Linked DNA regions of Macaca fascicularis. The protein of the gene in region 2 purifies or fractionates together with the protein of the main gene of each other region. This does not show direct contact. Links are inferred from orthologs where the notes say so. Each region holds a gene or a part of one and is shown on either strand. Other genes may lie near its edges.

Evidence for each region. The genes of interacting proteins can lie anywhere in the genome.
Region 1: the proteins of NCBP3 (region 2) and THOC6 purify together in Homo sapiens (co-immunoprecipitation; 3 studies listed by BioGRID and IntAct, with this or other methods). This does not show direct contact. The link is inferred for Macaca fascicularis from reciprocal best matches to the Homo sapiens genes NCBP3 and THOC6.

The regions. Positions count from the first base shown.
Region 1 is NC_088394.1:3,819,500-3,825,102, forward strand, and holds the start of THOC6 (THO complex subunit 6), read left to right. Parts: upstream 1-2,331; 5' UTR 2,332-2,615; coding exon 2,616-2,654; intron 2,655-4,219; exon of another isoform or gene 4,220-4,489; intron 4,490-4,637; coding exon 4,638-4,753; intron 4,754-4,854; coding exon 4,855-4,919; intron 4,920-4,993; coding exon 4,994-5,097; intron 5,098-5,181; coding exon 5,182-5,219; intron 5,220-5,296; coding exon 5,297-5,345; intron 5,346-5,447; coding exon 5,448-5,519; intron 5,520-5,603. Other genes in the region: TNFRSF12A (tumor necrosis factor receptor superfamily member 12A), read left to right, coding at 64-119; HCFC1R1 (host cell factor C1 regulator 1), read right to left, coding at 1,152-1,287, 1,522-1,650, 1,763-1,819, 2,136-2,230. UniProt on the Homo sapiens protein: Component of the THO subcomplex of the TREX complex which is thought to couple mRNA transcription, processing and nuclear export, and which specifically associates with spliced mRNA and not with unspliced pre-mRNA.
Region 2 is NC_088390.1:3,867,954-3,873,005, forward strand, and holds part of NCBP3 (nuclear cap-binding protein subunit 3), read right to left. Parts: intron 4,133-5,052; coding exon 4,024-4,132; intron 1,287-4,023; coding exon 1,187-1,286; intron 582-1,186; coding exon 478-581; intron 1-477. UniProt on the Homo sapiens protein: Associates with NCBP1/CBP80 to form an alternative cap-binding complex (CBC) which plays a key role in mRNA export. NCBP3 serves as adapter protein linking the capped RNAs (m7GpppG-capped RNA) to NCBP1/CBP80.

The sequences.
Region 1 (5,603 bases), on a different chromosome or scaffold from region 2:
GCCCAGCCCTGTCAGCACTCGACCTTTTCTCTGCCCCTGACGACCCCAACTCTTATCTTGCAGCCCCCATAGAGGAGACCGGCGGAGAGGGCTGCCCAGCTGTGGCGCTGATCCAGTGACAATGTGCCCCCTGCCAGCCGGGGCTCGCCCACTCATCATTCATTCATCCATTCTAGAGCCAGTCTCTGCCTCCCAGACGCGGCAGGAGCCAAGCTCCTCCAACCACAAGGGGGGCGGGGGGCGGTGAATCACCTCTGAGGCCTGGGCCCAGGGTTCAGGGGAACCTTCCAAGGTGTCTGGTTGCCCTGCCTCTGGCCCCAGAACAGAAAGGGAGCCTCACGCTGGCTCACACAAAACAGCTGACACTGACTAAGGAACTGCAGCATTTGCACAGGGGGGGGGTGTCCTCCTTCCTAGAGGCCCTGGGGGCCAGGCTGACTTGGGGGGCAGACTTGACACTAGGCCCCACTCACTCAGATGTCCTGAAATTCCACCATGGGGGTCACCCTGGGGGGTTAGGGACCTATTTTTAACACTAGGGGGCTGGCCCACTAGGAGGGCTGGCCCTAAGATACCGACCCCCCCAACTCCCTAAAGAGGGGAGGAGATATTTATTTTGGGGAGAGTTTGGAGGGGAGGGAGAATTTATTAATAAAAGAATCTTTAACTTTAAATGGTTTGGAGAGGCAGTGATCCCCGACTGACTCCCCTGAGCTGGAGGGAGGGAGTGAGTCAGCCAGCCGCGGGGGCGGGGGTGAGGCTCTGACTCACACATTCTCAATGCCTGGAACTCAGCCGGCCAGGACCTGGCTGGCCCTAACAGTTTTCCAGGGAAGATCTTGAGGAGAAACCCCAGCATCCCGCACCTCTGCCCTCTCCACCATCCCCAAAAGCCCCAGGTTCTAGACTGAAGCCTTCCTTTGCTCAGCAATCTTTATTCAGTTCTTCTTGGGGGTGGGATGCCTCCCTTCCCATGCTCCCACCCCTCCCATCCCAGAGCTCCGTTGGGCTCAGTGTCCTCTGTTGAGGGAAGGTCTTGGTGCCCAGATGCCTGGTCTGCAGGAGAGGGAGGAACCTTGTCCCTTTGCAGGAGTCGCTGGTCTCTTCTGTTGTGGGGAAGAAGGAAGGTGGGAGGGGCAGTCCACCAGCACTCAGAGCTCCGTTATGTCTCCAGCTGGGGTTGCAGGGTAGGGGGGACTGGGGGTGTCCCCCAGCCTCAGCAGACGGAGGGCCTCGGGGATGAGGCTGCCAGGGTAGCGCCAGAGAAGCAGCTCAGAGCAAGGGCTTCTAGAAGAAGAAATGACTGTCAGGGCATGGGGCTAAGGCTGGCCTAGCTGAGCACCTCCCACCAGGTCCAGGTCCCCAGGGACTCCTGGGTTCCCAGCACTTTCCGAAGAGCGAAGATGAGAAACAACCCAGAGGTCAGCTAGAGCTAAAAATGGCACGATGAGGCAGGGCCTGAGGTCAGCTGCGAGGACCGCCTGTGATTCTGCAGAAGGCCTGGCCAGTGGAGGAGCCTACCTGAGTGGGGGCAGGGCTTGGGGGAAGGCCATGGGGGGGCTGCAGTAGGGGTGGTCATTGTGCAGGCTGAGTTGAGAGAAGTGGGTGGCCATGTTCTCCTCAGACAGAAAATGCTTGCGCAGAGGCTCCCTGGGGAGAGATGGGAGAGAGGCAGGCTGGGATATTGAGACAGGAGGCAGCCTGTTGGGGACCAGAGGTGACAGAGCTCTCGTTGGGAGTCCCTCCCTGCCCCCAAACTCACTGCTCCTCCTCCAGGCGCCGCTTGGTGCTCATGGGCACAGCTCCTCGGAGAGGGGAGCTGGGGAAAAAAGAGAGCCTGGTGCACCCCACCCTCTTGGCCCCTTCCCAAGGATATGCCTGCCTGAGCCTGCAGCATCAGCCAGGAGCCCCAAGCCCATTACTGTCTCAGCTGGTGCTGGTCCCCCCTCTCCTGGGCCATCCAGCAGCGTACTTCGGAAGTCTGGACCCTGAACTGCAGCCCCAATACCATCTCAGCTCACGCCTAAGCCCCACCGATTCGCCCCACCCCGTGTTCATCCTGCAGACCAGCCCTGAGCACCCAGCCAAAGCTCCTGCGGCCCTTGGTCAGGCCCACCCTGGTCCCCCACACGCACCTGGCGTCCAGGCCCCGAGTCACCCCCAAGGCGGCCCGCGGGAGGCGCTGGGCCCCACCCTGGGGGCCTCGCTCCAAGGGCTGCTGAAGGATCATTGGGTTTTGGGGTCCTGCGGGTGGGATCTGGGCGACAGGGGAGGAGTCTCTGAGGGCGTGGCCCAGCGAGGATGGGCGTGGCTTTAGGCGGGCACAGCGGCGAGGTTCTGCGCGGGCGCCGAAGAAGGGCGGCGCGTGGCGGAAGGCAGGCTTGCTCCTCGGGGTGGGGGAGGGTATCCGGCTTAGCGGGGCTGCGGTGGACACCACTTCTTAATGTCGGGGGTCTTCGCGGCGCTCACCTCGGCTCCTGGGGTTCAGGACGGTACGCAGCAGCCCCCTTCGCGCCGAAGGCAGTAGGGCGCCACGGAGAGGAACCGCTGTAGGCACGTAAGGCCTCGTGAAGTTGCGTCGCACGCGAAGCACTCTGGGACTTGTAGTTCTGGAGATGGAGCGAGCTGTGCCGCTCGCGGTACCGCTGGGTCAGGTGAGACGGACGTGGGGCGCGTTGCCTTCTGGGATTTGTAGTCCATTCATGGCTGGGACGGGGCGGGCAGGGAATTGTGCCCTTTGAGTCCTATTTTGCCTGGGCTATTTGTGGAACTCAGACGCTGACCGGGGGGCGGGAGAGTAACCCAGAAGTGCCTCAGGGGCTTAACGCAAGTCAGAGAGTAGGGATTATAAATCAGTACGTTTTTCTATGTTGGGGTAGTAGAGCCACCCCTATTTTTTTTTTTAATTTTCTAGTTCCTGCAAAGCACTTTTTTTTTTTTTGAGACGGAGTCTCACTCTGTCAACTAGGCTAGAGTGTAGTGGCACGATCTCAGCTCACTGCAACTTCCGCCTCCTGGGTTCAAGCGATTCTCCTGCCTCAGTTTCCTGAGTAGCTGGGACTACAGGCGTGTGCCACCATGCCCAGCTAATTTTGTGTTTTTAGTAGATACAGGGTTTCACCGTGTTGACCAGGCTGGTCTCGAACTCCTGACCTCAGGTGATCCTCCCGCCTCAGCCTCCCAAAGTGCTGGGATTACAGGTGTGAGTCACCATGCCTGGCCACATTTTTTTTTTTTTTTTTTGAGACAGAGTCTTGCTCTGTGCCCCAGGCTGGAGTGCAGTGGCGCGATCTCGGCTCACTGCAAGCTCCACTCCCCCGGGTTCACGCCATTCTCCTGCCTCAGCCTCCCGAGTAGCTGGGACTACAGGCGCCCACCACCTCGCCCGGCTAATTTTCTTGTATTTTTAGTAGAGACGGGGTTTCACCGTGTTAGCCAGGATGGTCTCGATCTCCTGACCTCGTGATCCGCCCGTCTCGGCCTCCCAAAGTGCTGGGATTACAGGCTTGAGCCACCGCGCCCGGCCATTTTTTTTTTTGAGATGAAGTTTCACTCTTGTTGCCCAGGCTGGAGTGCAATGGCTCCATCTTGGTTCACCACAGCCTCCGCCTCCCAGATTCAAGCAGTTCTCCTGCCTCAGTCTCCCAAGTAGCTGAGATTACAGGCATGCGCCACCACTCCCAGCTCATTTTGTATTTTTATTTTTTTTTATTTTTTTTATTTTTTTTATTTTTTATTTATTTTTTTTTTTTTTTGAGACGGAGTCTCGCTGTGTCTCCCAGGCTGGAGTGCAGTGGCGTGATCTCGGCTCACTGCAAGCTCCGCCTCCCGGGTTCACGCCATTCTCCCGCCTCAGCCTCCCAAGTAGCTGAGACTACAGGCGCCCGCCACCACGCCCGGCTAGTTTTTTGTATTTTTAGTAGAGACGGGGTTTCACCATGTTAGCCAGGATAGTCTCGATCTCCTGACCTCGTGATCCACCCGCCTCGGCCTCCCAAAGTGCTGGGATTACAGGCTTGAGCCACCGCGCCCGGCCTCATTTTGTATTTTTAGTAGAGATGGGTTTCTCCATGTTGGTCAGGCTGGTCTGGAACTCCAGACCTCAGGTGATCCGCCCACCTCGGCCTCCCAAAGTGCTGGGATTACAGGCGTGAGCCACTGCGCCCGGCCCCACATTTTTAAATTTTTTGTTGAGACGGAGTCTCACTATTTTGACCAGGCTGCTCTCGAACTCCTGGCCTCCCCAAGCAGTGGATGACAGGCATGAGCCACCACACCCGGCTTCAGCACTGAGTGACAGCCCCATGGAAAGCTCTTGTCTATACACTAGCTCATCTAATGGTGATGGAATCTTCTGTGAGCTCCACTTGACAGTTGAGGAAGCTGGTAGGAGAGTGCTGGGTGCTTGCTCAGAGGTCCCTGAGGCATCACCTCGACTCGCCCCTTCTTCAGTGTCTTCTTGGAGCCGCCCATGGGACTGCATGGGCAAGTGCTGGCTTGGGGCCGGGCCGCCTCAAAAGAGGGCTGAGAAGTCAGGACAGTGGGAAGCCTGGCAGGTGTTGGGGGAAGCAGGAAGGAGTCTGTGGCTGGGAGGTTTCATACATCCCAGGCAGGCCTCATCCAGTTCTTCCCTGCAGACAGAGGTGTTCCAGGCCTTGCAGCGGCTCCATATGACCATCTTCTCCCAGAGTGTCTCACCGTGTGGGAAGTTTCTGGCGGCTGGCAACAATTATGGGCAGATTGCCATCTTCAGGTACCCTCTGCCGCTGTCCACCCATTAGCCCTGGCACTTGGCCCTCATGGGACGGATGTCCCTGTTTCTGACTCCTGGGTCCCCTCCGCTGTCCCCTGCAGCTTGTCCGCTGCTTTGAGCTCCGAAGCCAAAGAGGAAAGTAAGAAGCCGGTGGTGACTTTCCAAGGTGGGTATAGCTGTGGAGTCTGGCTTCGGGACTTTGGGTGGAATTGGTCAACTCAGTTCTGCATTTCTCTTTAGCCCATGATGGGCCTGTCTATAGCATGGTCTCCACCGATCGACATCTGCTTAGTGCTGGGGATGGGGAGGTGAAGGCCTGGCTTTGGGCGGAGATGCTCAAGAAGGTAAGGAGTTGAGCTCGGGAAAGGGCTGGGGTGCCGGGACCCAGAGAGAGCCTTTGAGGTCAACTGGTATTTTCCCTTTTGAAGGGGTGTAAGGAGCTGTGGCATCGGCAGCCTCCATACAGGTGAGCCAGGGCCACATGGATAGAGGGGGCATCGGGGTGAAGTGACTTCCTCACTGACCCTGCCTTTCCTTCCCCAGGACCAGCCTGGAAGTGCCCGAGATCAATGCTCTGCTGCTGGTCCCCAAGGTCTGAGCCCCATGTGACTGTTCTTGTCCAAACTTTGATCCTTCACCCTCTGCCTACCCTGATTTGACATTGACTTCCTGCCTCACCCTGCTCCCTCCACAGGAGAACTCTCTCATCCTGGCTGGGGGAGACTGTCAGTTGCACACTATGGACCTTGAAACTGGGACTTTCACGGTGAGCAGGGTCTTGGAGCCCTAGAGCAGGTCCAGGCCAGGGAGAGGCACTCTTCCTAGGTCTCCTCCTGATATCGCCCCTCTA
Region 2 (5,052 bases):
AAAAATACAAAAGTTAGCTGGGCATGGTGGCGCGTGCCTGTAGTCCCAGCTACTCGGGAGGCTAAGGCAGGAGAACTGCTTGAATCCAGGAGGTAGAGGCTGCAGTGAGCCGAGATCAAGCCACTGCACTCCAGCCTGGGAGACAGAGCGAGACTCCATCTTAAAAAAAAAAAATTGTTTTCATGCAGCTGCTGATATTAATAGTAGAAAAATTAGGATCTTAAGGAAAGTTATGTTTTAATTTTTCCTATGTCACATTTTGCCTTTTTTGATAGAACAGCTTTTACAAAATCATTTGACCTCTTTGGGCAACTTAAAATTAATTGTGACTTGACTTACTTTCCTATATGTTGGCAGAGGGTGAGGGCAAGGAAGAGAGGATGATAAAGTTTGGAACCTTAAAAGATTGCATTAAGAATAAAAATATGATTTCAGGAGCCAAACATGTGTCTACCCAAGAGCTGAGCAGGCAACTACCAGAATGCCGATGTTTATACGACGTCAAGCCAACGTCATCCCCAATCAGGGCTCTCTTCTTGATCACGTCCCGCTGAATACGACGGGAATGATATCTTCGCTTCCTGCAAGAATGCCAAAATAAGCACACAATCAAAAACTAATAGGAAGGACCTTGAAATCCACTATTTCTTTTTTTTTTTTTTTTTTTTTTGTGATGGAGTCTTGATCTGTCTCACAGGCTGAAGTGCAAAGGCACCGTCTCAGATCACTGCAACCTTCGCCTCTTGGGTTCAAGCAATTCTCCTGCCTCAGCCTCCTGAGTAGGTGGCATTACAGGCGCCCACTACCATGCAAGACTAATTTTTGTATTTTTAGTAGAGATGGGGTTTCACCATGTTGGCCAGGCTGGTCTCAAACTCCTAACCTCAGGTGATCTGCTCGCCTCGTCCTCCCAAAGTGCTGGGATTACAGGCATGAGCCACCGCGTCCGGCCTCACTAATTCATTTCAACTACATGTTGACACAATGTTAGGTACTAACACAGATATTTTAAATGTAACTAACTAAAACTCAGCATTCCCCATCATTTACCACATTTAAGAATCTTGAATTCTTCCCTCTTGTCTTCCTCCCAGTCTACACAGGGTTTAGACATTTCACCACAGAATGCCAACTGAAGGATTAAGAAAAACTTAAATACTATTGCATTTGACGGTTTTGGGCTTACCATGAATTGCTAAGAATTCCTTTCATGCCTCCGTAATTTGGATTCCCATATTTCATGTAATACTGACTTCTTCTGGCTGCTCCAAGCTCCTTTTTGTCATCTACAAATGAATGACAATAATCACCTAGGATTTCCCGAGAGTACGAAGACAATGTTGAATTTTTTTTTAAATGTTTTCCATAGCTGGAATCAGATCAGCGCAAATTGCCAACAAAAAGTAAAAATCCACTACCAACATTCACACTCTGAGTGCCCACTACAGCAATGCAGTGTAGAGGGGACAAAGCAAAATACAGAGATGAACAAGGTTAAAACTGCTGTTTTGGAGCCAAATGACTTAATGGAGAAAACAAAAATAAACAATACAAGATACAAGGTTCCAAGAGGCATAAAAGAGCTTTAGGTCATTACAGGTACTCAGGAATCAAAAAGGCTTTCTCAAAATGGTGGCATTTTTGCCACCCCATGAAAGATGATATTCACTTTGGAATAACATGCCAACAACACAGAATCAGGATTAAGGAAACAGACTATATACAATTCCATGTATTTGGTAAATCATTTTTTCCAGCTTATTGTGTTCCTCAGAATGGCTTAAAAAAACAGCATAGTACTGTACATGTAGAATGTACTCAAACAGCCACTTAAATGAGTAAATGTGGTAAAGATCACATATGTCAAGTTGAAATGTCAGTTAACAGGAAAGAAAGGTGGTCAGTCATCATAAATTTTTGTCCAAAGCAGTAATACAAAGGCCTTCTACAGTTCTTGGACACTCTGACTGTAAAGAACAAACACCACTGTAAATATATCCAGTGCTGCAGGTAAACGTGACAACACAAACCAGCATGTAGAGCCCCCAACCCCCAAACCCCTCAAACCATGCCCACCAGCTCCTTGGAGAAATGGCTGATTCCACATGTGGAGCAGGTAAGATGCAAAATGAGTCTGGAAAAGCAAGATGTTTTGCTGTGCCATAAAGAAAGAAAGGGGTTCTACCGGCCAAATCCAAGACAATTTGTAAATTAAAATACTGATATCAGGCCGGGCGCGGTGGCTCACACCTGTAATCCCAGCACTTTGGGAGGCCGAGGCAGGCGGATCACAAGGTCAAGAGATCGAGGCCGGGCGCGGTGGCTCAAGCCTATAATCCCAGCACTTTGGGAGGCCGAGGTGGGTGGATCACGAGGTCAGGAAATCCAGACCACCCTGGCTAACACAGTGAAACCCCATCTCTACTAAAAATACAAAAAATTAGCTGGGCATGGTGGCAGGCGCCTGTAGTCCCAGCTACTCGGGAGGCTGAGGCAGGAGAATGGCATGAACCTGGGAGGTGGAGCTTGCAGTGAGCTGAGATCGCGCCACTGCACTCTGGCCTGGCAACAGAGCGAGACTCCATCTCAAAACAAACAAAAAAATAAATAAAATAAAATACTGATATTATTGGATGATAACCCACTGAATAAAGAAGCCAGGATTCTAAACTGAGGTAAATAAACAAACAAATACGTAAAAACAGAAAGCTCTTCCGTAGAGCACCTGTCTACTAGTAAAGAAATGATACAGTCAGAAAGGCATCAACAGATACTAAAGCTACTGCATGAAGCTCCGATGAGCAACAGCTATTTACATGATTTCAAAGTATCTGCCCACCAATTTTTTATTTTATTCATTTTTTAATTTTTAAAAATAGGGATGAGGTCTTGCTATGTTGCCCAGCCTGGTCTCGAACTCCTGGGCTCAAATGATCCTCCTGCCTCAGCCTCCCAAAGTGTTGCAATTACAGGCATGCGCCACTGTATCTGGCCAGCCCACCAATTTTTAAATTACAAATGGAAAAATAGTAACTTTACAGTGGAAAAACCTAGTGATGATTATCTTAACCAAGTGAATAAAGTGAACGCCCCTAGGACTGGGACGAGTAAGTATCCCAGGCCTCCTGACGTGATGCCTTGAAATGACATGACATTGCTTCTGTGGCACGACTGTCTGAAATGCACAACCCAAATTCAACCACGAGGAATCATCAGACAAACCCAAACTGAGGGACATTCTATACAATAGTAAACCTATACTCTTGGAAAACATGGGAGGATAGAAGTAGTTCCAGCTTAAGGGGGACTAAGGAAACATTACATACTTACACACTCAGTCCTGGATGGATCCTAGACCTGGGGGCTGGGCGGGGAATATATAAAGGACATTATTGGAACAACTGACAAAATTTGAATATCGACTATGGATTAGGTAACAGTACTGTATTAATGTTAAATTTCTTGATTTTGATAAGTGTGCTATGTATAAGACAATGTTCTTGTTCTTTGGAACACATTTAGGGGTGATGGCTTTTGTCTTCAATTAACTCTCAAATGATTGAAAAAACCAATATGTGTATATGTGTATGCATATATACACATACACATTTTAAATGCCCACCAAAAGTCACTGTGTGTAAACAGTCTTATGAGAAGGGAATTAGAACTGAATGGTACATTGGCAATGTTCAGGAGGATGTTGCTGTAATAAATAAAGTTTCATTTTAAAGTTTTCATAATTCAGATGGTAACTGGCTGAAAACATATGGGGCAAACCAGTTTTAACAGAAAATAACTCACTTTAGCCAGAAGTCACAGAAATATACAAATAGTTAATATTCACTTTTAAAATCAGAAATTCCAACTCAGGTGGCAAACAATTATTTCATAAGCACAGAATATTATAGTTCAAAAGGAACTTTGAGATTACTTGATCTAACTTCTATCCAAAAAAGAAGGATGTCATTCCATAATAACTCATTTTGATTGAAAATACGAAACAATACCAAATATCATATTTACCTTTTGTAGCAAATCTCATGAATAACCTGTTTCCTTTAGCAAGTTTGTTAGCTGGACGAAGATCGTTTCTTAACAAAGACTCCTCTTCTACCTGAGACAACGTGTCCAACTTAAGAAAGAAGAGTATTTTTAATATAAAAATTAAAGTCCTTTTGATATTTATTCAGTAGTAAAGCTACCATCAAGAAAAGCATTCTACCTTTAATACTTGCAAGCATTACAGCACTAGTTCCTCTGTAGAATTTCTAACTCAGAGGTTTCCCCTGCCCACCTTGTCTAAAAGAACAGTCTCCATCATTCTCTATCCCCTACTCTTTAGTTTTCACAGCACTCATCGCCACCTGACACAGTGTAAGGTATCTGTGCATCAGTGTATCCTCTGTACTCCCCACTAGAGTGCAGGCTCCAAGAGGGCCAGGACTTTGTTTGACTTGAAGCTATATCCCTAGCACTTAGAATACGGTATACAATAGGTACTCAGGAAATATTTTTTAAATGAATACATGCTAATATTTTTAACAATAGTACATAATCCATTAGGAAGTATGCCATTACTTGCTGTTTCTTCATTTTACCAATTAGATAACACTTCAAAGTATTTCTCAATAAAACTATTTTCTCTTTTGTAGAAGCATGAGTACTATTCTGAGATTTCAAGGTGAATCGTTATATCCACGCGAACTTAAAGGACAAGAGCCTGGTGCACCCTCAGAAGGTCTAACGGTGAAAGCTAGAGAGCCGGGCACGGTGGCTCAAGCCTGTAATCCCAGCACTTTGGGAGGCCGAGATAGGCAGATCACAAGGTCAGGAGATCGAGACCATCCTAGCTAATACGGTGAAACCCCGTCTCTACTAAAAAATACAAAAAACTGTAATCCCAGCACTTTGGGAGGCCGAGACGGGTGGATCACGAGGTCAGGAGATCGAGACCATCCTGGTGAACACAGTGAAACCCCGTCTCTACTAAAACTACAAAAAACTAGCCGGGCGAGGTGGCGGGCGCCTGTAGTCCCAGCTACTCGGGAGGCT